Linked DNA regions of Notamacropus eugenii. The protein of the gene in region 1 purifies or fractionates together with the protein of each later gene. This does not show direct contact. Links are inferred from orthologs where the notes say so. Each region holds a gene or a part of one and is shown on either strand. Other genes may lie near its edges.

The links.
Region 2: the proteins of SEC13 (region 1) and NUP98 purify together in Homo sapiens (affinity purification with mass spectrometry; 4 studies listed by BioGRID and IntAct, counting the BioPlex papers as one, with this or other methods). This does not show direct contact. The link is inferred for Notamacropus eugenii from reciprocal best matches to the Homo sapiens genes SEC13 and NUP98.

Annotation. Positions count from the first base shown.
Region 1 is NC_092874.1:435,214,807-435,225,108, reverse strand, and holds the start of SEC13 (protein SEC13 homolog), read right to left. Parts: upstream 6,210-10,302; 5' UTR 6,049-6,209; coding exon 6,046-6,048; intron 3,556-6,045; coding exon 3,511-3,555; intron 2,154-3,510; coding exon 2,038-2,153; intron 1-2,037. UniProt on the Homo sapiens protein: Functions as a component of the nuclear pore complex (NPC) and the COPII coat. At the endoplasmic reticulum, SEC13 is involved in the biogenesis of COPII-coated vesicles.
Region 2 is NC_092876.1:96,313,336-96,323,637, reverse strand, and holds the start of NUP98 (nuclear pore complex protein Nup98-Nup96), read right to left. Parts: upstream 5,287-10,302; 5' UTR 5,141-5,286; intron 4,982-5,140; exon of another isoform or gene 4,855-4,981; intron 1-4,854. UniProt on the Homo sapiens protein: Plays a role in the nuclear pore complex (NPC) assembly and/or maintenance. NUP98 and NUP96 are involved in the bidirectional transport across the NPC. May anchor NUP153 and TPR to the NPC.

The DNA of each region.
Region 1 (10,302 bases):
CAAAATATGGATTAATTTTAAAGAATGATCAGATGACTAGAAGCCTCACTGAGCACAAACAGTACAGCTACCATGTGAAGAGGAGCAACAGCTTAAAAGTTATAAATGGGTTCTGAGGAGATGTGGTATAGGGGAAAAGACTGAAAATCAGAGGCCCTGGATTCTCTCTTGACCTCAGTTTTCATCATCCATAAAATGGGAGGGGGTTTGGCTTAGATGACCTTTAAAGTTCCTTTGAGTTCTCAATCTATGATCTGATGTGTCTGCTTAAAAAAGGCTGGGAACCACTGATCTAGTCCATCCCCTTTAATTTACAGATGAGGAGACAGAAACCCAAAGACATGCTGACCTGCTCAGGTACTAAGGGGTAGAGGTGGGACTAAATCCATGCTTCCTGCCTCCCAGGAGGCAGAGGTAAACAGAGCAGTCACACCATTCTCCTGGGATCCTAGGTTTAAAACTTGTATAATCCATGATTCTTTCTCTCCCTTATTCCTTCTCCCTACATGCCTAATTGGTTGCAAGGTCTTGTCCACTCTATTCCATACCTCTCCCACCTTGCCCCTTCTCTCCACCCTAATAAGGCTCTCATCACTTCTTACCTGTCCTATAACAATAACAATCTCCCAAATGGCGCTTCTTTTCAGTCTCTCTCCTCTCTAACTCATACTAAATGTGGCTGGCAAAATCATACTCCTAAGGTCTGACCACGCTACTTACTTATTCAAAAATCTTCAGTGGCTTTCCATCATCTCTTGGATAAAATAAAAACTCCTCCCCTTGGCCTTTAAGGTCTTCCACAATCTGGCCCCAACAGACTGGCAGCCTTTTTTCATATTACTTCCCTCCATAGGGTAGATGTTCCTGGATAACCTTCTGTTCACCGATCTTGGTGGAATGCTGTTTCCATGCCATGCCTTTGCACAGAGGGCTGCCTCTCATGTGTGGGGTATAACATGCCCTCATCTGTGCTCCTCATAACCTGTCCTTCCCTTCTGGCCTCATCCCAGGGTCTTCTCTGTGCAGCCTTCTCCAGCCCTCCTGGTTGTCAATGCTCTCTCCCTCCTGTCTAGTCTTTACTTATCAGTATATATGCTGTATCTAAAGCCTTGGAGGGCAGATTGTTTCACTTCTGTCTTTGCACCTTCAGTGTTTAAAATATAGCATATGTATTATTTTTTTAAAAAATTTAACTAATTTGGTTTCAGTTTTTTACAGTCACTTCCATAAGTTTTAAATTTTCTTCCCATCCCTCCCTGAGACAGTTTGCAATCTTACATGAGTTCTACACATACATTCTTATTAAACACATGTCTTATTAAACCAGATTGCCACAATGTCTCATAGGTTCTACTGCTTTGACCCAAAGAGAGGCCAACCTCCTCCTTATCAGTCTCTACATTCTCCTGTACCAGAGGGTTTCAAATCCCAGGCGGATGTTCTCCTTTTGGTTTATTGGGTTAATAGCTCGATGTGAGCACAGTAAAAGAACTGATAATTAAGCTACGACTAGATTGATTTTTACTACCACTGATAAATACAATTCAATGAAGGGGAAGACTAGAGAATTTACAAGATCTGGTCCTAGCAGTCTATCAATGGTACTTTGTTTTGCTTGTATTTTTAAAAATTACGAACTTAGAATTTCAATTACAATTCAGAAAACCAAGAACCCTCCTCCTTCCCCTCCTCAATTGTCTGAAGTCACATTATCCAATTTCTTTGTGCCTCATTTTCCCCAACTGACTAACTCCTACTTTATCAATCAGAGGAATTAATTGAGTTATGGACATTATTCCAATGAGGCCATTTCCTTTAAAGAGGTTCAACTAATGCTGGAATTACTTTGGGCAAAACAATGCTTTTAAAGGCAGAGATATGCTCTGTAGGATAATGGCCTCCTCTCCATCCTCTCTGAAAAACACATAAGATTCTGATAAAATCTGGATTGTTACTTCATTTTCCAAAGTCTACTGCATAAGATACAAGCAGCAAAATTATTCCCCCTAGAATTTTCTCAATGTTGGATATACTCACCCCCTCAGGTCGGCAATGAGAATCTGACCCCCATTCCGCACATCAAAGATTTTGACAGATCTATCTGACGAGCAGGTGGCCAAGCGGGTGCCATAATAGTCCATCTGGGCATCATGCTGAACATGGAAGAGAGAAATCAGGAGATTTGTAGACTCCAGAGGCTCACACCCATTATTACTAAGGCAGGGATTGTAAATTTGAAAAAAACAAAAACACTGCTCAAGTCAATTCAGTCCCAGAGAAAACTGAAGAAAGGAAGTCAGTTTATACTACGTGAAGATTATAAGTTGTGTTCTCCAATATAAAATGTTCTTAAATTGAGAAAATAAGTTAAAGACATAGCTAGTGTTAAATATTTAAAGTCCCCTTTACACCTTGTCAGTTGAATACATAGTTGTATTTTCTTAGTATGTATCACGACCCCACCACAGGTAAGCTCCTGGAGGGCAGACCCTGTCTTGTTCACTTCTGTATCCCCAGTATCTGTATCGAGCACACAGGACGTAAATTCTAAATGTGCAATAATTGTTCTTTTATTCCTTCTTCCCACAATCTTAACCACCCATATACCTCTGCTGTTCTTTTCCCAGAAAATATTTCAGATACCTTTACCACATACACTGGCTGCACTGTTGATTTGGACCACAGGAATTTCAAGCAACTTTCTGCTTCCTGTAATGACTAGGTTTATTAGACTAATTGAGCTTACTTATTTCATACTAACATTCTGCCCAGTCATTTACTTTCCAAATTCCTACTGAAGCTGGATCATAGGATAGCTCTAAAGTATTAAAGGAAAGTATTCTGATTCCTCTTTAGGAGATCAAGGCCCAATCCCTTGTTTTCCTCAGGTTCTGGCCAAATTTGGATCTCTAAGTCTTAGTGCTGTATTTTCTCCTTTCTGACAATTGCTTCTTAACAACTCAAGATGTGAAACACTTTCAAAAGAAGATCTGCAAAAAGAAAAGCCAGCTGCCAATCACTCTGTGGCCCAGTAAACAAACTGTTGAACATTAGGATGGAAAGTAACAACTGCCTCTATACCAGGAGTTCTCAACCTGAGTTTGTAAGCTTTCACCTGTAATTCAATATAACTGGGTTCCTTTGTAATGTTGCATATTTTATTTGATGCATTTAAAAGTATTATTTTGAGAAGGGGTCCCTAGGCTCCTTTACCAGACGACTGCCAAAGGGGACCATGACACAAAAATGCTTAAGGACTCCTACTCTATGCTGACACAACAGTCTCTCAAACAACAGGGGCATTTCCGAAGAGGACTTGTTACTCTAACAAAGGCTGGATGTGGTCTTCTAATGGCTAAATACTAGAGGTTTGGCAAATTCTCAAAAAAAAAAAACCCAAGCCATTTTGATTTATAAACACATCAAAACTGCGTAATTGAAAATAAAAACTCTGCCATCCCACAGGAATGTCAGTTTCAGATTTAAGTAATTGCTAAATGGAATACTCACAATCATGTCCTCGTGGGAGGTATCCACAGTGTTAATGACCGACACCTAAAACCAAAGATTACATTAAATTAATAATGGCAATTATAAAGCAACCTCTTCAGGAACCCGATCCATTATTTCCATCTAATGGTCTCCTATCCTTGCAAAATTTTCTCAGTATAAACTTCAACAATTATAATCTATGGTCCCTTTCTACATCATTAAGCTTCTGCAGCACTTTCTGTACAAATTGGATTAGACCCCTTTACTCTCCAATTTTGGGCCACAATCCTCCTGGAACTGCTACTTAACATACCATTTCTGACAGAGTGAAGTCATCCATCTAACACTGGAGTATATCTGTGTGATAAGTAGTCTGTAGAGCACATATGGATTATGATGACTACTAGATGCTAGGGCTCCGGATGCTATTACCATAGTTTTCTGCCTTTGTAAATTCTATTCATTGTTCTAGTGCAACTGAAGATCCTACCGCTCTAGGCAGCCTTCTCAGGCCACCCTCACAGAATAAAAGAGAGCTCGGCCTCCTGGGAATTCCAAGGGCGCAGTCTGCCTCTTGCAGAGCTTGAGACATCTTGCCTTATGTGCATTAGCCTATAAGCTGTCAGCATTCTCTTCATTTGTAATTACTTTGTGTTTTACATTTGCCTATTTACATGCATGTTGTTTCTCCTCCCCTTAAAAAAAAAAAAGGTATGCTCCAAGGGGCAGTAACTTTTTTCTTTTTTTTTGTCTTTTTATCCTTAGTTCCACACAATGCCTGGCCCACAAGTTCTTAATAAATGCTTCCTGAATTGAATGGAATTTTGCACTCCCCTGCAAATTCTTTGTGGCAGAGTCTGTGTAAAGCACTTTGTAACCACAAAGTGTTACGTATATAGCAATTATTATTATCAATGGGTTACGTTTGTCTGTTGCCAAAGAAGACCATGCCATCAGAGAAATGATGACATGACTTGCACTTGACTTTGTTTTGAGGGAGGGAGGGCTGTGCAGGTCACAAGCCTCACTTCTCCAGAGCTGTCTGGATCCAGTGACCAGATATTCGTCAGGATGACCCAGGATGTACTGGAAGACCTTGGCCCCTATGCAGGTACTCACTTAGGGTGAGGTAATGCCCATTCATAATGGACTACCAATATGAACACGTGAAGCACTGAAGCATGGCCAATATTATAATTCTATGAAAAGAGTAAAATTATGTATTTAGGTGTGATATGGATATTTTTTATAACTTCAACAATTTCAACTTTTCCTGTTTAAATCGCTAGAAAAATATTACAAGATTTGGTATTCTTCACTTCAGAACAGTAAAGGCAAGGACTGGATAGAGGGGTAGTACCAAGTAGCTGAATGGAGTGAATATATTTTTGTTTACCAAATTAAAAAAAAAATCATTCGTAGGGGCCACCTCTTGAAGCTTACAAGAGGGAACTGTAGAACAAATAAAACACATATTCTATAAAATAAATTGTCTTGGCTCTGGGCTTTCTCTTCTGGCTGTTGCCCCATGCCTGGGATGCTCTCCCTTCTCTGCTTTTACTACCGACCTTCCTGGCTTGCTTTAAGTCGTCATTAAAAATTCCACCTTCTACAGAAAGCCTGTTAAGGTTAAATTATGAACGTCCAGAGTTTATTCCTAACCTCTGTAGCATAACTGAATGCGGGGAGAGGAGAGAACAAGGACCACTTTCCCCCTAAAAGTTCCAGGGGGAAACCCACCTCGGAGGTACAACGTTCCTCAGGATGAACCGTAGCTGGTATCAGTATGACAAAAGGGATCTGCTTCCTAACCCAATCAATCGTTTGGACTTTGACAAACACCACGTGGCAGGGCTCACTCAGGAGCAGAATCCTCGATTAGGGTTTGAGGTGACTTCGGAGTCCAAAGCTGGACCGCCTGCGAGGGCAGGGTGATTTCGGGGCGCCGTGCGCCCCTACTGTCCATTATAACTGACTCTTCCCTTGTCACGCACAGCGCTCCCCCTTGGGTTCTGGCCGGTGTCCCCCGAGTTCGGCTCGGGTTGCACTAGGACTTTTGGGACACCTCTCTAACTGCCGTTTACAGCGGGCACCACCCCGGGGGGCGCCTGGACTTGGGCCACAAAAGCTCCGAGGCCGCGATTTCTCCTCCCCCTCCCCACAAATCCGGGACTGGCCCATTTCCGCCTCTCCTTGACCGCTGACAGGCGGACTCCGACCCCAGGGCGGCCTCCAGGTCTCCGAGGTCCGCACTAAGGCCGGCTCCACGAAGGGGCGACCAGCCACGTCTCCGCCCCACCCCGGCGAAGTGACCCGCGAAGAGCAGGGCGGCCCGGGGGGGCTGAACCGAACTGGAGGCCGCTGCCCGGGATGGGGGGCCGGTCGCTAGTCGCCCCCATGGTCGGCCCGGGGTAGAAGCCAGGCTGGCTGGGCCCCGGGGGTGGGTGGGTGGGTGTGAGGGAAGCAGCGTCCCTCGGACCCGTGCCCTGTCTCCCGCCTCGGGTCTGCGCCGGGGGCTCCCCTAGCCCGGCTCGCAGAGCACAGGGCTCTTACCATGGCGGCGGCGGAGGCGGCGGTGGTTCCCGGCTTCGGACGTGGCAACTCCTCCCGGCTGCAGCGGCGGCGGCGGCGCCCAGGACGGGTCACTTCCGGTGCCGCTGTCAGCGCGTAGAGGGGACGGATCCGGCCTTGTCCGCCGCGGGAGACTTCCGGAGAGGAAACGCAGCCGTCGCGCAAACGTTCCGAGGCATCTTAGGTCGGTGCCCCTCTTGCCGCGCAGGCGCAGAAATTTCGGCGCGTGCCGCGGGCCCGAGCATCTTGATTCCTCTCTCCTGCTCTTATGGGATAATCGATAGAGCTGAGGAGGGAACCTAACGTCCATCCAGACCACCCCTCTTACTTTATCGGGGAGGAAACTGAGTTCAGAGAGATGAAGGGACTTGCCTAAGGTCACGCAGTGACTGACGCGGGATTAGAACCCGGGTCTTCCCGACACTTCCAGGGCTCTTTCCACCACGTTCTGCCCCTGCCCAGGTGGCGGCCTTCCCCGGTCCTGAGACCGTCCCTTCTAAGTGCCCGCTACCGGCGGGGCACGTGCCACCTACCGGCGGGGCACGTGCCTCCGGTGCCGAGCTCGGGGCCCTGGTGCTGGCCAAGGACGCCGGGGTGGCCCCATCTCGTGCCACCCCCTCCCGGGGCTGTGAGGAGGGCCGAAGCCCGTGCCAACACGTGGCTGGGCAGCCACGCTCGGGTCCGCGGTCTTCACCCCTTCCAGCCGGGGCGCCCTCGGTGCCGGCTCCTGGTCCACAAGGACCCGCTTCGCCCCCGCCCCTCGCGGTACGGTGAAGACCCAGGGGAGACGTGGGCAAAGCCAAGCAAACCTGGCCTTGGGCCTCGGGCCCGCGTGCTCTCCCCCAGCCGCAGCATGCTGCCCCCTCCTTTCCCTCTTTCACTCCTTCTTTTCTTTCTCCCGAGCTCTCCTTCCTTTCCTGATCCGCTCCTTCCAGCGTGTTAAGTTCCTGGAGGTCAAGACCTTGTGCCAGGCGCCGTGCCCGTACCCACAGGGAGCTTTCACGAAGCTAGTTTCACAGGTTTCCTGTCTTTAAGGGGCATAAACTCTCCGACAATAGGAACATATTGTTATTCAGTCAGTGCACGTGGGGGCTAGAGATGATTTGGGATACAAAAAAGGGAGAGAAGGATTGTAGGGAGAAATAAGAAAAAGAGGGAGGATCCTAGAATTTTAGGGCTAGAAGGGACCTTTCAGAGCTTGCTGTCTAGTTAGTGTGTTGTGGGAGGGTGGGTGTGGGTGGAGGCCCCACCTTCCCTTAAAACATGACAAGTAAGGCAGTATTCAGCCAGGATAGTATACTGGAATTAGAATCAGGAGGATTTAGGATCAAAATCCTAGTTCAGACACTAACTTTAGGATCCTGGGAAAATCATTTAATCTCTGAGATCCAGTTTCTTCATTCATAAATTAACAATATTATAGTACCTACCTATCAGGGTTGTCCTTGAGGGTCAAATGAGATAAGCTATTTATTATAACTATAATATATTGTGGGATCCTCCAACCTCACCTTGAGCACCATTAAAATATTTGGGGATTCTCAGCAGTATCACACTCAAATAGAAATGGATCTGTGGCTGCATATTGATTTAGACAACCACAAATTAACATATGTTGAATTGTATTTTTATTTTGTCAGATATTTCCCAGTTGCATTTTAACGTTTTCACTGTAACTCAGGAGTTGGGTGGTGAGTTTGCTACCTCTGCTCTAACCCCCTACATCATCAAAGCCATTCTCAATTTAGGAAGCTACCTTTACGTGAAATTTGACAAGTGAAAAAATCCTAGAACCTTGGAAATACTGGGCCACTACACTCGACCATAAAATGAAATGACAAGGAGATGATCGCAGCTAATAGACTGTGAAGGAGGGGAGGTATACATGTATATGTGTATGCATGTTTTGGGGTGGGATAGGATTGGAAAATGAGACTAAGGGCAAGAATTAAGAGAGGACAAGAGCATCTGAGAGAGGAGATTATGCCTTGAGAGGAAATAGATTTTGAGAGAAGAAACCAGACCATACGGAAGGAAAAAATTCTTGAAGAGGAATATGAGGCTGGAGGAAGGATAATACAAGGCCTTGAGATTAGAGATCCTACTTTGAGAGAAGTCCTGGGAGAGGTGAGATGTCCCCTCCTTCCCCTTCCCCCACACCCCCCTCAAAAAAGAGAACGATCCTACTTCAATAGAATTGGCTAGAGATGCTAAGGTAATGAAGGCATCGAGGCTGTTTCAGGTTAGGCTCCATTGTGCGCTTGAGCCATGGTCCAGGATCTGGTCCTTAGACTTGAAACTGAAGAAACTTGATTTCACCATCTAGGACTGATCAGGCTTTAGAGAATTGAATTTCAGGAATCTAAACTCAGTAACAGGCTCTAGAGAATTGAATTGCACCAATCCAAACTCAGAAAGGGACTTACTTAGAACTGCAAATGACAATGGATTAATTTACTAATTAATGGGAAATATATGTGGCTCAGAACTCAGGTTAGATGTTTGTATAGAGCACCCTTTTCCTAGTGGGCAATTCCCATCCGGAAACAGAATTATAGACCACAGAATTTCTTACAGAATTAGGCCAGTGGAATTCAGATGTCTTTAGGCAAGGTACAGTAGAAATAGCAGCAGATTTAGAGTTAGAAGACCTGACTTTAAATTCTAGATCTACCACTTGATGTTCATGTGAACTAGGGCCAAGTCATCAAAACTCTTTGGGCCTCAGTTCCCTTCTTTTAAAAAGAGAGAGTCAGACTAATGACCTCTGTATTTCCTTTTAACTAGAAATCTATGATTTATATTGCAATCAAGCTAGGTAGTCTGATGAATGGGGCAGTTGGGTGGTGCAGTGGATAGAGCACCAGGCCTGGAGTCAGGAAGACCCATCTTCCTGAGTTCAAATCTGCCCTCAGACACCAAGTAGTTGTGTGGCCCTGGGCAAGTTTGCCTCAGTTTTCTCATTTGTAAAATGAACTGGAGAAGGAAATGACAAATCACTCCAATATCATTGCCAAGAAAACCCCCAAAGAGTTGGACGTGACAAAAACAACCAAGTCTGATGAATTACTTTCCTGAATCTAGGGGTTACTGATCTAGAATCAGCACATGTTTCCTTGGATAGAATTAGAGATCTTTACTTTCCAGATCTCCAGTTCTTTCCTTCTGAGATTCCATAAAATTAGGACTCTGATTGTCCTCTTCTTTACAACCAAGGGACCAGAACATACCAAGGTTCAGGTGAATTTTCATTTTGTGAGAAGACTAACTTGGGTCAAGTGAAGGGGAAGGAATAGGTAAGATGTTTGGAGACACTACTCTGGTAGTTTGTGACTCTACCCTTGGGGGCCTCAGCATCCTTGAATGGATGGGCACCCACATCCCCTTACTTATTGCTTTAAGCTCTCTGTCATGGTGAAGGTTCAGCCATAATTCTTTTTTAAAACATCTTCTTGCCCCAGGTTCCCTAAGATTTCCATGGACCTGCATGAAATTCTTACCTTCTTCCTTAAGCTGATTTTGGAGCTGCAGAGAGGGAATGTGAAAGGAGAGTAGAAAGAAAAGGAAGCTCAAGGTAGGTGATGGTGGAATGTGATGATATGTTCAAGGTAAAGAGAATGGCCAGAAACAGGGCTAACATGTGAGTGTGGTGATGGGCAGGGCTTAGTTTGGTAGTCAGTAACCTGGAGAATTTTGCTTCCCTTACCTAATGGGATCTGACTTTCGGTATTGGAAACCCTTCCCTATGTTCTCTCCCTCAAACTTAAAGTTTCCCAGTCAAATGATTGATAAACTAATTAATAATAAAATGTTAATGGCTGATAATGGATTATTGTGTTAACCAATTCACAATACTATAAAATTTTAGGCTATGATTGGAGAGATTTGGGGCAGAGTGACACATTGATGTTCTTTCTCTGCATAGGGCCAACCTTGCATGGCATTATCTAGAGTCTCTTTTGAGTCTCTATTTACATTAAATATTAAAGTAGAGTCAGTAAAAACAAAACAAAACAAAACAAAAGCAAAACCAAGTGAGTTTGAAGCTTCCGAACCTAATTTTGATGGCTGTTTCTTTCATTGCTGTATTGTTCTTTTGCCAGTTAATCCTTGTATCTTGAATCTGTAAAGAGAAAAATATTGGGAACAAGCGGTGACCTTTTGGCATCTTCCCTTTTCCCATTTTTCATTTTTAGCTTCATTCCCCCCAGGATAGCATCTAATTATTTCTTGAATAAT
Region 2 (10,302 bases), on another chromosome or scaffold:
AGGGTAGGAATGGACTTTTAATGAAACAGATGGCTTCCAAGCATTCTTGATCGAAAGAATAGTTTCACTGAAACTAGAAAGTTCCAATGCAGAAGTTAAGAGAAATATAAGAGGTAAACACAAATAAACTATCGTAAGGGACTAAACAAAGATAAACCACTTACATTCAAATATGGGGACATGATACATATGTCCCCTCTATCCCTAGCATCATCTGGGATCACAAAAGGAGTCCAATTAGACAAGGACTGGGAATGGTTCTGTTATGTCTTGATCTCAAAAATGGAAAAAAAGAGGGGAAAAAATATACATTAGGGGACATGTGTTTCAGAAAAATTATCCCACATAATCTAAGATAGCCATATAAACAAGGAAGTGTGTGAAAGGGAGGGGGAAGGAGTGGTTGACCCTGGAACCTCACTCTATTCTGGTGAAAGGAAGTGGGAAGGGAAGGATTTAATAAGTGACTGCTATTTGCCAGACAAATATTGTATTTTATCTTCAAAACAACCCTGAGAAGTAGGTGCTATTATTATCCCCATTATTTTACAGTTACAGAGACTGAGGCGACAGAAGTATGCCCAAGACCACAATTTGAACTTGAGTCTTCCTGACTCCCTGCTTAGTGTCCTATGCACTGCTGCCTAGGAACATAGCTGCCTCAAGAATGAAGAATATACATATGCACTTGAGGACAAAACTACATTTGGTATATAAGTAGGAAGGAAAGAGAATGAAGATCAGTGAATTAAGAGGGTAGGCAGATTAAGGGAGGGATCGTTCCTAAGCAAAACAAATTCAACTAAAGATGTACAAAAATATTTATGTCTTTTTGAAGTGTGAAAGAATGGGAATCTAAGAAGGTGTCCATAAATTGGTGAATGGCTGAACAAGTTATGTGCTGGAATAAATACAACTGTGCCAAAATAAATAATGAAAAGGATGGTTTCAGAGAAATCTGGAAAGATTTCTATGAACTGATGCAGAGTGAAATGAACAGAATCAGAACAATTTTCTACAGTGATAACAACGTGGTAAAGATGATCAATGCTGAAAGAACTAGGGTATAGGATCCATATAATGACCAACCATAATTCTCAAAGACTAATGATGAAAGATGCTCTCTACCTCCTGAGAGGTACAGGACTCAGAAAGAAACAGACAAATTTTCTGGACATGGCCAATGCATAAATTTTTTTTGCACATTTGTAACAGCAGTTTTTGTTTTCTTTTGTTCTCAATTGGGAGAAAGGGAATTCAGGTAATTTTTTGTGAATGTGCATGTATGTGTATGTATAATTTTAAAATTATCAATGTTCAGTGGGATAGAGGATCAATCAGGAAGTAGAGAGTAGCCTTGCTGCAGTGAAGGCTCAGGTGAGACTGGATAACAGATACATAGTTAGCACAGAGACCCAGCTAGCATAGTTTTGTGACTTTCTCCACTTCCATTCAGCAGCGCATGATGAGAAGCGAAGGAGGCTGATGATCCCAGTAACCTAGGGCTGTAGTTTGGTAAGACATGACTGGAAATAATAAATAAACATTAAGCAATTACTACGTACAAAGAAAGGCAAAAACAGGTTCTGATCTCAGGGAAATCACAATCTAAAGTGGGAGACAACATGCAAACAACTGTGTAGATACAACTCTATACTAGAATGGGTTGACAGCACAGTGGATAGACTGCTGGACATGGAAACAAGACCCAAGTTCAAATTTAGCCTCAGATCCTTATTAGCTGTATGACCCTGGGTAAGCCACAACTTCTGTTTGCCCATTTTTTCAACTGTAAAATGGGGATAATAACAGTATCTACCTCCCAGGGTTGTTGTGAAGATCAAGTGAACATCCAGCACGATGCCTGGCACATAGTACTGTATAAATGCTAATTCCCCCTCCCACAAGAGTAGAAATAGAAGGTAACCCAGAAGAATGACATTAGCAGAGAGAGAGATCAGAAAAGGCATCCTGGGGAAATGGAGCGTCATGGGCAGAAAGGTCAATGTAGATAGGTCATAGAATACATGAAGCAAATGCTAGTACATATATTCTTTTATTATAGAAAATATTATTTATCATCCTCTCATTCCTTTAGATTTAAACTTTAAATTTTAAAGAAAATAAAATGGATCCCCTGTGTATTCTATTCTAAACCTTTCAAGATGTCAGGAGAGTTGGCTCTTCATAAAACCCCAATAAGTACCCTAGGAGCTGGGTGTTCTAATGGTGTGCCAGGCTCTCTATAAGACATCACTTGGTACAATATCATCCTACAAGGGGTTGACACTGACAATTAAGAACTATTTTACAATGTGTGTGAATGTGTGTGAATGTGAATGCGCGTGTGTGTGTGTGTGTGCGTGTATTCCACAATCATTCCGGCAATCAGTAGTGTTAGCATTAACTCTGCCACATACAAAGGTACAGTTTATTTACATTCCACAGCACAGATAGAATGTCCACTTTTTAACTGACATTTAGTTTTTACCAGTTTTCTTCTACTCCCCAAATACTGTTTCCATTTCTGCTTTGTCATCTAAACATAAGCAAAGTGACAAAGTGACTCATTCAAGGCCGGAATAAACTTTAATTCAATTTTATGGACTCTCAAATGAAAAGCTCAAAGGAATAATTATACAACTGTTTAGGTTCTATTAAATTAAAATTTACAAAATTAAATTAAGAGAAACACCATATTGTCTTCTTTTCAGGGTTTGCTGGCTTTGAAAAACCTAGTTATCTTAATCCAATAAACAAGCCCTTACCCACAAAAGACACACCAATAAACATGTAAACAAATGTAAACAACGAGACAGCACAACCAATATGAGCAACGTTATTCAGAAGTCCCATGAAAATTCCCTTGAGATTCAATGACAGACTACTCACACTGAAAGGTTATTGCTCCTTCTTTCTCCCTTAAGTTAATTCTTCATGCAAAGAAAATACAAACTCTCACAGGTAGTCAGGAACCTCTACTACATAACAGTACTATGCATTGTTTGTTTGTTTTTTTATGTAAAAACTTTTTAATCCAATATAACCAAAATTATCCATTTTACAACTCGTAATGCCGTCTTATCTCATTTGGTCATAAATTCTTCCCTTCTCCACAGATCTGAGAAGTAAACTATTTCTTGGTCTCTTGGTCTCCTAATTTACTTACAGTATCACCCTTTATGTCTAAATCATGTACAATACAGTACTATGAATCCTGCTGCAGAGAAGGACCAACATTCCTTAGTCTTGTCTCCCAGAGTGGATGAAATATTATTCTTATATTTGTTTTCTAAATTTCACGCTTATTTCCTGTTTTCTATTCCCAGTATACATTCAATCACTTAGCAATTCTATCTTTAAAAAGAACATGTTTCTATTTTATCCAATTAGCCATAGTGGTTTTACATATCAAACCTGGAATAACAGAATGTCAAAACTGGAAAAGACACTTAAAGATAATATAGTACCACTTCCCTATTTTACTGAAATGGAAGAGGAGACCTGAAGAGGGGAAGTAAATTATCCAAAAATCACACAGAAGGTGAGCCAGATCCCCAGCATACCAACCTAGAACTTTTCCCACTACATCAAGCAAATTTAGGTAATTACTTGCAATTTTATTGACCCCCTCATCCCACCCTCATGTATCTCACTGTTCTTCACTAAATGGTCAGTTACTTGAAATCAGTTCTAAATCTGGTTTTAAAACTAGATAAGGATACAACTAGGCCTGGGAAGAACATTTACTGCCATACTAGACATCTACTACAAAGCTTGGCACATAATAAACACTTATTCATTCATTCATGCTAAACTGAAATGTCTCCCTGAGATCTTCAACATCTAAAGAATACTTATCTCTGTCTACTAAAGTGGTCACATAATGTTCTAACACCAGAAGCAAAATCTCAATATGGGCAGAATAGGAGAGTTCCATCAGGATAAATTCAGTGTAGCAGTAAAGTGTTCTGGACTGGGAGGCATATCGTCTCAGTTCTTGTCTTGGCTCTGACATGGACTCACTTTGTGAAGGCCACTAATCTGGGCCCTCCCCAAGGGGCACAATGAAGAGTTTCCTGTTAATTTTCCCTTAACCTTTAACATTCTATGAGTCTAAGGTTCCTCCCCCAGCTCTGAATTGTGTTTGTAGTGACAGGCTATCCTGCCTTTAAATCAAAAACAGAAAACAGGAAATCAGGATAACAGGAAAGGTACCTAATAAGCACTCCAGAGTCATTAACACCAGAAGGACCAGTCCAGTCAACTGATTTCCCTCTCCCCCCATACTATACTTTTATTTTGGAATTAACATTTTCATCCTACCATCTCTATTTTCTTTGCTTTCTAATTCGAAAAATATGTACTGAGTTAACTGATTCAGCTTGTTACTTCTAAGTATTCTTAAATTATGGTCCTTATAACGTTAAAAAAGAAAAACCAAGTGTCTGTAAGAAAGCAAAGAACCTCTTATAAATTCCTGATGTTAACTTCCCACATGAAGCAGCATCTCAACCTTCTACTTCCTAGAAGAGAAATTAAAAGCAGCACCACCAGACAGACTGTCCACTCCAAGATGTTTGGGTCCTAGGTCTTAAGCTCTTTAAATCCCCTTTCAGGACGGGGCAGTACTCGACACAGCGGGTACCGAATCAGTATTTGTAAAATAAAAGGATAAAAACCCAGAAGTCTTACTTCAGCCGACTTTGCCCTCGCTGCGTTCCACCCTCAAAGAACATAGGTCCCTAATCCCCAATCCTACCCTAAAATCTTTACCCAGGAAAACCTAGGTACGGAAGATCTGCAGCATAAAAGATGCCCCATCTCACCCGCAACAAACCCGGTAAGAGCTACCTCCAGAAATCCTACGTCTAGGTCCCGAAACCAGGGTACTCCCAGGCGCGGGCCGTCCACACCAATCCCCAAACCCTCTCCCGCGAGGCAGCCCCAGCTCCTCCCCCAAGCCGAGATACTGGGTCGCGGGGTCAGAGGGTCGTGGGCCCCGCCCCCGCCGTACGGACCGAAGGGAGCGCGCGGCCTCTCCTCCCAAGGAAGGGGCGGCCCTCAACTCAGCTCGGCCCCAGCCCTGTCCTCGTCTCGGAGCCACGCACCTGGCCGGCCACCGTCGCCGCTTACTTACCGAAGGGCTGCGTCCCCCGTACGAAGGGACTAAAAATCGTCCTCCTCCCGCCGCCGCCGCTCGGAACGCGCGCGGCCGCCACGAAACCGCCGCCGCCCCCGCCGCCGCCCGGGCCGCTCTGTGCGCGATGTCCGACTGCGTCACACGCCGGTTGTCGTCATAAGCGCGCCGCGAGCGCTTCTTTCTCTCCGCGCTGGCATTGGCCGTCGTGGCCGCCAGTCGACGGTGGCCCCGATGCTCATTGGCCAAGGTGTCGTTTGAAACCGAACGTGGATCGAACTTGGAGGGTGGGGGCGGGTTAAGGGCAAAAGAAATGAGGACGAAGGGATATGGGGAAGAGATGGGGGTGGGGGGAAGGAAATGGGCTGGGGATGGGGAAAGAAAAGGGTTGAATAGCGAGTGAAGGAGCGAGGAAGGGAGGGAGTAGTCCCGCCCTTCTCAGTCACCGCATTACGATTGGCTGGGAATGCACCCTTGCGTCACAGAAGGGAACCTAGAACCTGAGCGGGGAGGGGGCGGGAAAATTATGTCGCCTTCAGGCCCCGCCTTGTTGCAATCTTAGGTTGGGTTGGCGGAGGGAGCCAGTACAGTCTCTCCGTCGACCAATCAGAAGGAAGAGCACATCGGATGGCATGGCAACTCAGCCTTTGCTGCGGGGGCTTCTGGGAAAGTTCTTCTTAGCAGCTAAAGCCTACCCGTTTCCATTCCCCCACGACTTCCTAGGCTGTTACCATGTGCGTTGCCTAGGACAATTTACTAGCCCCGCCTCACTGAGGCGTGGGGATGCGGCGCTGGGGGCCAGTTCCTTTATTTTTCCTTTTCTCCTTCCTCATTCCTCTCTCCCCCCAGCACCACCGAGCCTTCTCCATACAGTGCCCAAAATTTGTGGTTCCTGGCATAAACCCATCCCGGGAATACTCACCACCACCCCGCCCAGGGTCACGAAGGAATCAAGAAAGGGAACAGGGAGCATCCTCTCACACCAAGGGGTCCCCACGACATACTCAAGTGCTGCTTCTAACTGAAAAAATCTCCCTGAAACTCCACCCCCACCCCCATTCCTCAACTACTTCAATCAGACTCAGAGGACAGATGTGAGGCACAACCCATGTGGACAAACATTAAGGGTTTACTGTGTGCCAAGCACCTACCCTGGAATGTATGAGGGCATCTACAAGGTCTTGGAATTGAAAAGATTTGGGGCACCCAGCCTATCCTCCCCAAGAGGAACCCTCAATCAGTGTGTGTATTTCCGACCCCATCCCATTCACACATAGTGCAATTTGTTCATTCAATAGCTCACATGTACCTAATGCTTTAAGGTTTTCTAAGTCCTTTTGCAAAATATATTTTATCTCATTTTGGCCTCACGAGAATCCTGTGAGGTAAGTACTGTTATTCCCACTATACAGATATGAAAACTAAGGCTCACAGAGTTGTGACTTGCCCAGCTGGTTGGTTGGTTGGTTGTTGTCCTTCATTCTCAAAAAGGACCAAAATGACATCACCATGATAAAGTGAAGTTTCAGTGGGTCTGACTATGGCTGATCAGACCAATATGAGCTTGGAATGCTCTACCACAGATTGGGCACAAATAGTCCATGTGGATATTTGGGGTGGCTACTCCAAATTTGTGCATCCTATGTTTCCTTTGTGCTGTCTCAATTCTGCTTTGCTCATAGAGCACAACACCCTTTCTGATGTGGGCACGCCATGTTGAGCAGTCCTGTGCCAATGTCTCCCATGTTGCATAGTTCTTGAGAGAGACCTTGAGAGTGTCCTTGTATCCCTTCTTCTGATCACCATGCGATCGCCTGCCTCGTGTGAATTCTCCATAAAATAGTCTTTTTGGCAACCCTACATTTTACATTTGAACAATAAGGCCAGCCCATCAGAGTTGTGCTCTCTGAAGCATAGTTTGAATGCTTGGTAGTTCAGCTCAAGCAAGGACTTCTGTCTGGTACCTTATTCTGCCTGGTGATCCTCAGAATCTTCCTAAGACAGCTCACTTGGAAGCAATTCAGTTTTCAGGCATGGCACTGGTAGACTGTTTCACAGGCATACAACAATGAAGTCACCACAACTCCGTAGACCTTCAGTTTGGTAGTCAAGTTGCCCAGCGAGTAATTATCTGAATGCAAGGTCTTCCTGAATGCAAGAATAGTACTGTATCTTCTATACATTCAAGAAATATTTGTTGGCTCAGGAAGACAAAATCAGGTCTACAAGAGAGTTAAGATTCCAAACTGTAATGTTAATTACATGATAAATGAATTAGAGAACTACAAAACAATATGTTATGTAAAGTCTGCTGGGAAATCAGGTTGATCAAGGTTGATCTTCTTGGAAGAGGTATGGCTTTAGAATTAGGTTTTGGGGGCTAGCTAAGAATTAAATAAAGAGGGGATGACAGGGCATGCCAGACATAATGAACAAGGAGAGAGCATAGTGTGTGTTTGCAAAGCAGACTCATCCAGGATGGCAGGAACATAGAAATTAATATGACATCAGGTTAGAAAGGTATGGTTACACTCAAATTGTGGAGGGGTTTGAACTTGGGAGGCAATATGTAGCCACTGAACATATCTGGGGAGATTTTCTGTATAGAATTGTTATTCTGGAAATAGCATGGGGTGAGAGTGTTTAATAAATAGTCCTGGAGGGTAGCAATGGGGACCACTACTGGAATAATGGCAAAAGAAATAGAGAAAGGAGAATAAGTTTAAGAAATGTGCAGATAGAATCATCAGGACTTGATAATAATTAGATTTGAAGGGAGGGAGGGAGTCAAGACTTAGGATTTCATTGGGATAAGAAATTTAGCCAGTTAGGAGGAATCTGCCCTTACCTATGTAGATCTGGGAATTGTTCCACAACTTACATATAGTCTTAGAAAGCTGCCTGGAACACTGAGAAGTCAAATAACTTCACAGGGCCACACAGTTAGTTTGTGTCAGAGGGTAGGCTTGAATTTAAGTGTTCCTGATGCGAAAGTGGGCTCCGTATTGATTACACCATGGTGCCTAACTAAACTGGATTTGGGAAATAAAAAGGAGGAAAGGATCAAAGTTAACACATAAGTTTTGAAAATGGGAAACAGTGAATATCAAGAGGAATGAATGAATTGAATCAATTAAAAAAAAAAACCATTGGTTAAGGCTTTTGTTAAAGTGCCAAGCATTTTGGTAAGCACCAAGGGTACAAATACAAAAGCAATGACAGTCCTCAGGGAGCTTACATTCCAAGGGTGGTAGCCAGGCTGGAACACTTTGGTTCAGAAAGTTAAGAAGATGGTGAGTGGGGACTCTAGGGAGTAGATTGACATTCCCCAAACAGAAAAATGGCAGAGCAGATTTAATCATGGTTCTTCCTTACTGAACAGGAATTGGGAGGAGAGAGTGAAGTGAATCATGGCTGGGGCTTTCCTGAATCTTGTAGTCCAGGAGGTCCAGTCACCAATTAAGAGAGCAGACTTTGGAGCAGAAGTCTCATACATAGGGTCTGTAGGTGATCTGAGAGGAGGGAATGAAGTGAAAGCTGGCTAGGGTTTTCCTAGAAAATGGGGAGTTTAGAAAAGGATGAGCTCAATTTGGGGCAGGTTGAATTTGAAGTGTAGATGGAGCATCAAGGTAGAATAGTCTGGAAGGCAGCTGGAATACTATTCTGGAGTTCAGAAGAAAAGCTAGAACCTGAGCTCTGTAGACTTGAGTCATCTGCACAGAGGTAGAAGTGGAAGCTATGAGAGTAAATGAGATTGCTAAAGCAGATACTGGTAATAATTAGTATTTACATAAGGTATGTTTCCAAAGTGCCTTACAAATATTTCATCTTCATAACAATCATGGGGATTAGGTGCTATTATAATCCCTATTTTACCAATGAGAAAACAGGTAGAAGTTAAAAGACTTTCCTAGGGTCACATACCTAGAAAATATCCAAGGTCAGATATGAGTCTTCAGGTCCAGCATTCTAATGATTCTTGGCTTAACGCAGAGTAGGTGGTCAAAGATAGACTCATAGGGAACACCTATGTTAAAGGGTCAGGAAAAGGATCAGGAACCAACAAACTCAAAACTTAGAAAAATAGAACCAGGAGAGTATGAAGTCAATGAAGCCAAGAGAGGAGAAAGTATTCAGGAGGAGGATGTGGTCAGTGATGTCAGAAGTAATAGATCAAAGAGGACAAAAATCTGAAAATAAAATCACTGGATTTGGCCTTTAGAAGGCAACAAATCATAAGATTTTAGAATTAACCGTGCTTTTAGAGTCCACCTGCTTTCTCATCTCTTCCTCCTGGTTTTCCTGACTTCTTCTTTTAAGGCTCAGTTCAAATTCCAGTCTTCATTCTGAGATTACCTTTCATTTATTCTGTATTTGTCGTATACATGTTTACATGTATACATCTACATATTTACAGTGTTTCTCCCATTAGAGGATGAACTCCTTGAAGGCAGGAACTACATTTTTTCCTTTTTTAGTATCCCCAGGGCTTATAAATACTTTGCTTCTCAACCTGGCAGACTAACTGCAGGGAGAAATGTGATAGGATAGGTTAGATGCCAGAGAGAAAAGAAATGACTGCCTGTTTTCCCTAATAGATTCTGGAAGAAGACAAAAGGGGTGGGACTACAGTAGAGGAGTTAGCCTTGAAGTAGTCTTGTTAGTATTATTATGGAACCATTAAGAGGTTTACTTAGACCTAGTTCTTTTCTGGTGTCCTGAATGGGCTCTGGCCTACATTAAGACAAAGCCAGAACACCTGGAACCTGCTGAAGGAAAAGGAAATGTTTTCTGGGCTCTAGGTTAGGGAGATTGAATCTAGAGAATAAATATTTGATTAGGGAAGGTAGTTTCCTGGAGGGATTATTCTACATACAGACAGCTGAGTCCCAGATTATCATAGTAGATCCTGTCTCTTTTTTGTTTCTGTTTTTGTTTATATTTGGGGGGGGGGGGGGGGGGCTGACTCCTGCATTCCCAGGGCTAAATTAAGGTATAAGGCGCCCTCTCCTGGACCACACTAAGCTCTTTGGCACCAGAAATGGCTAGGAGGGACTTGTGGCTCAAAGCTCTCCCTATGCCTGGGCAAACAGAAATTAGTTCGCATTTATTTTGTCTGTATGTAGTATGTACTTAGATATATCCATACTGTCTCCCAGGAG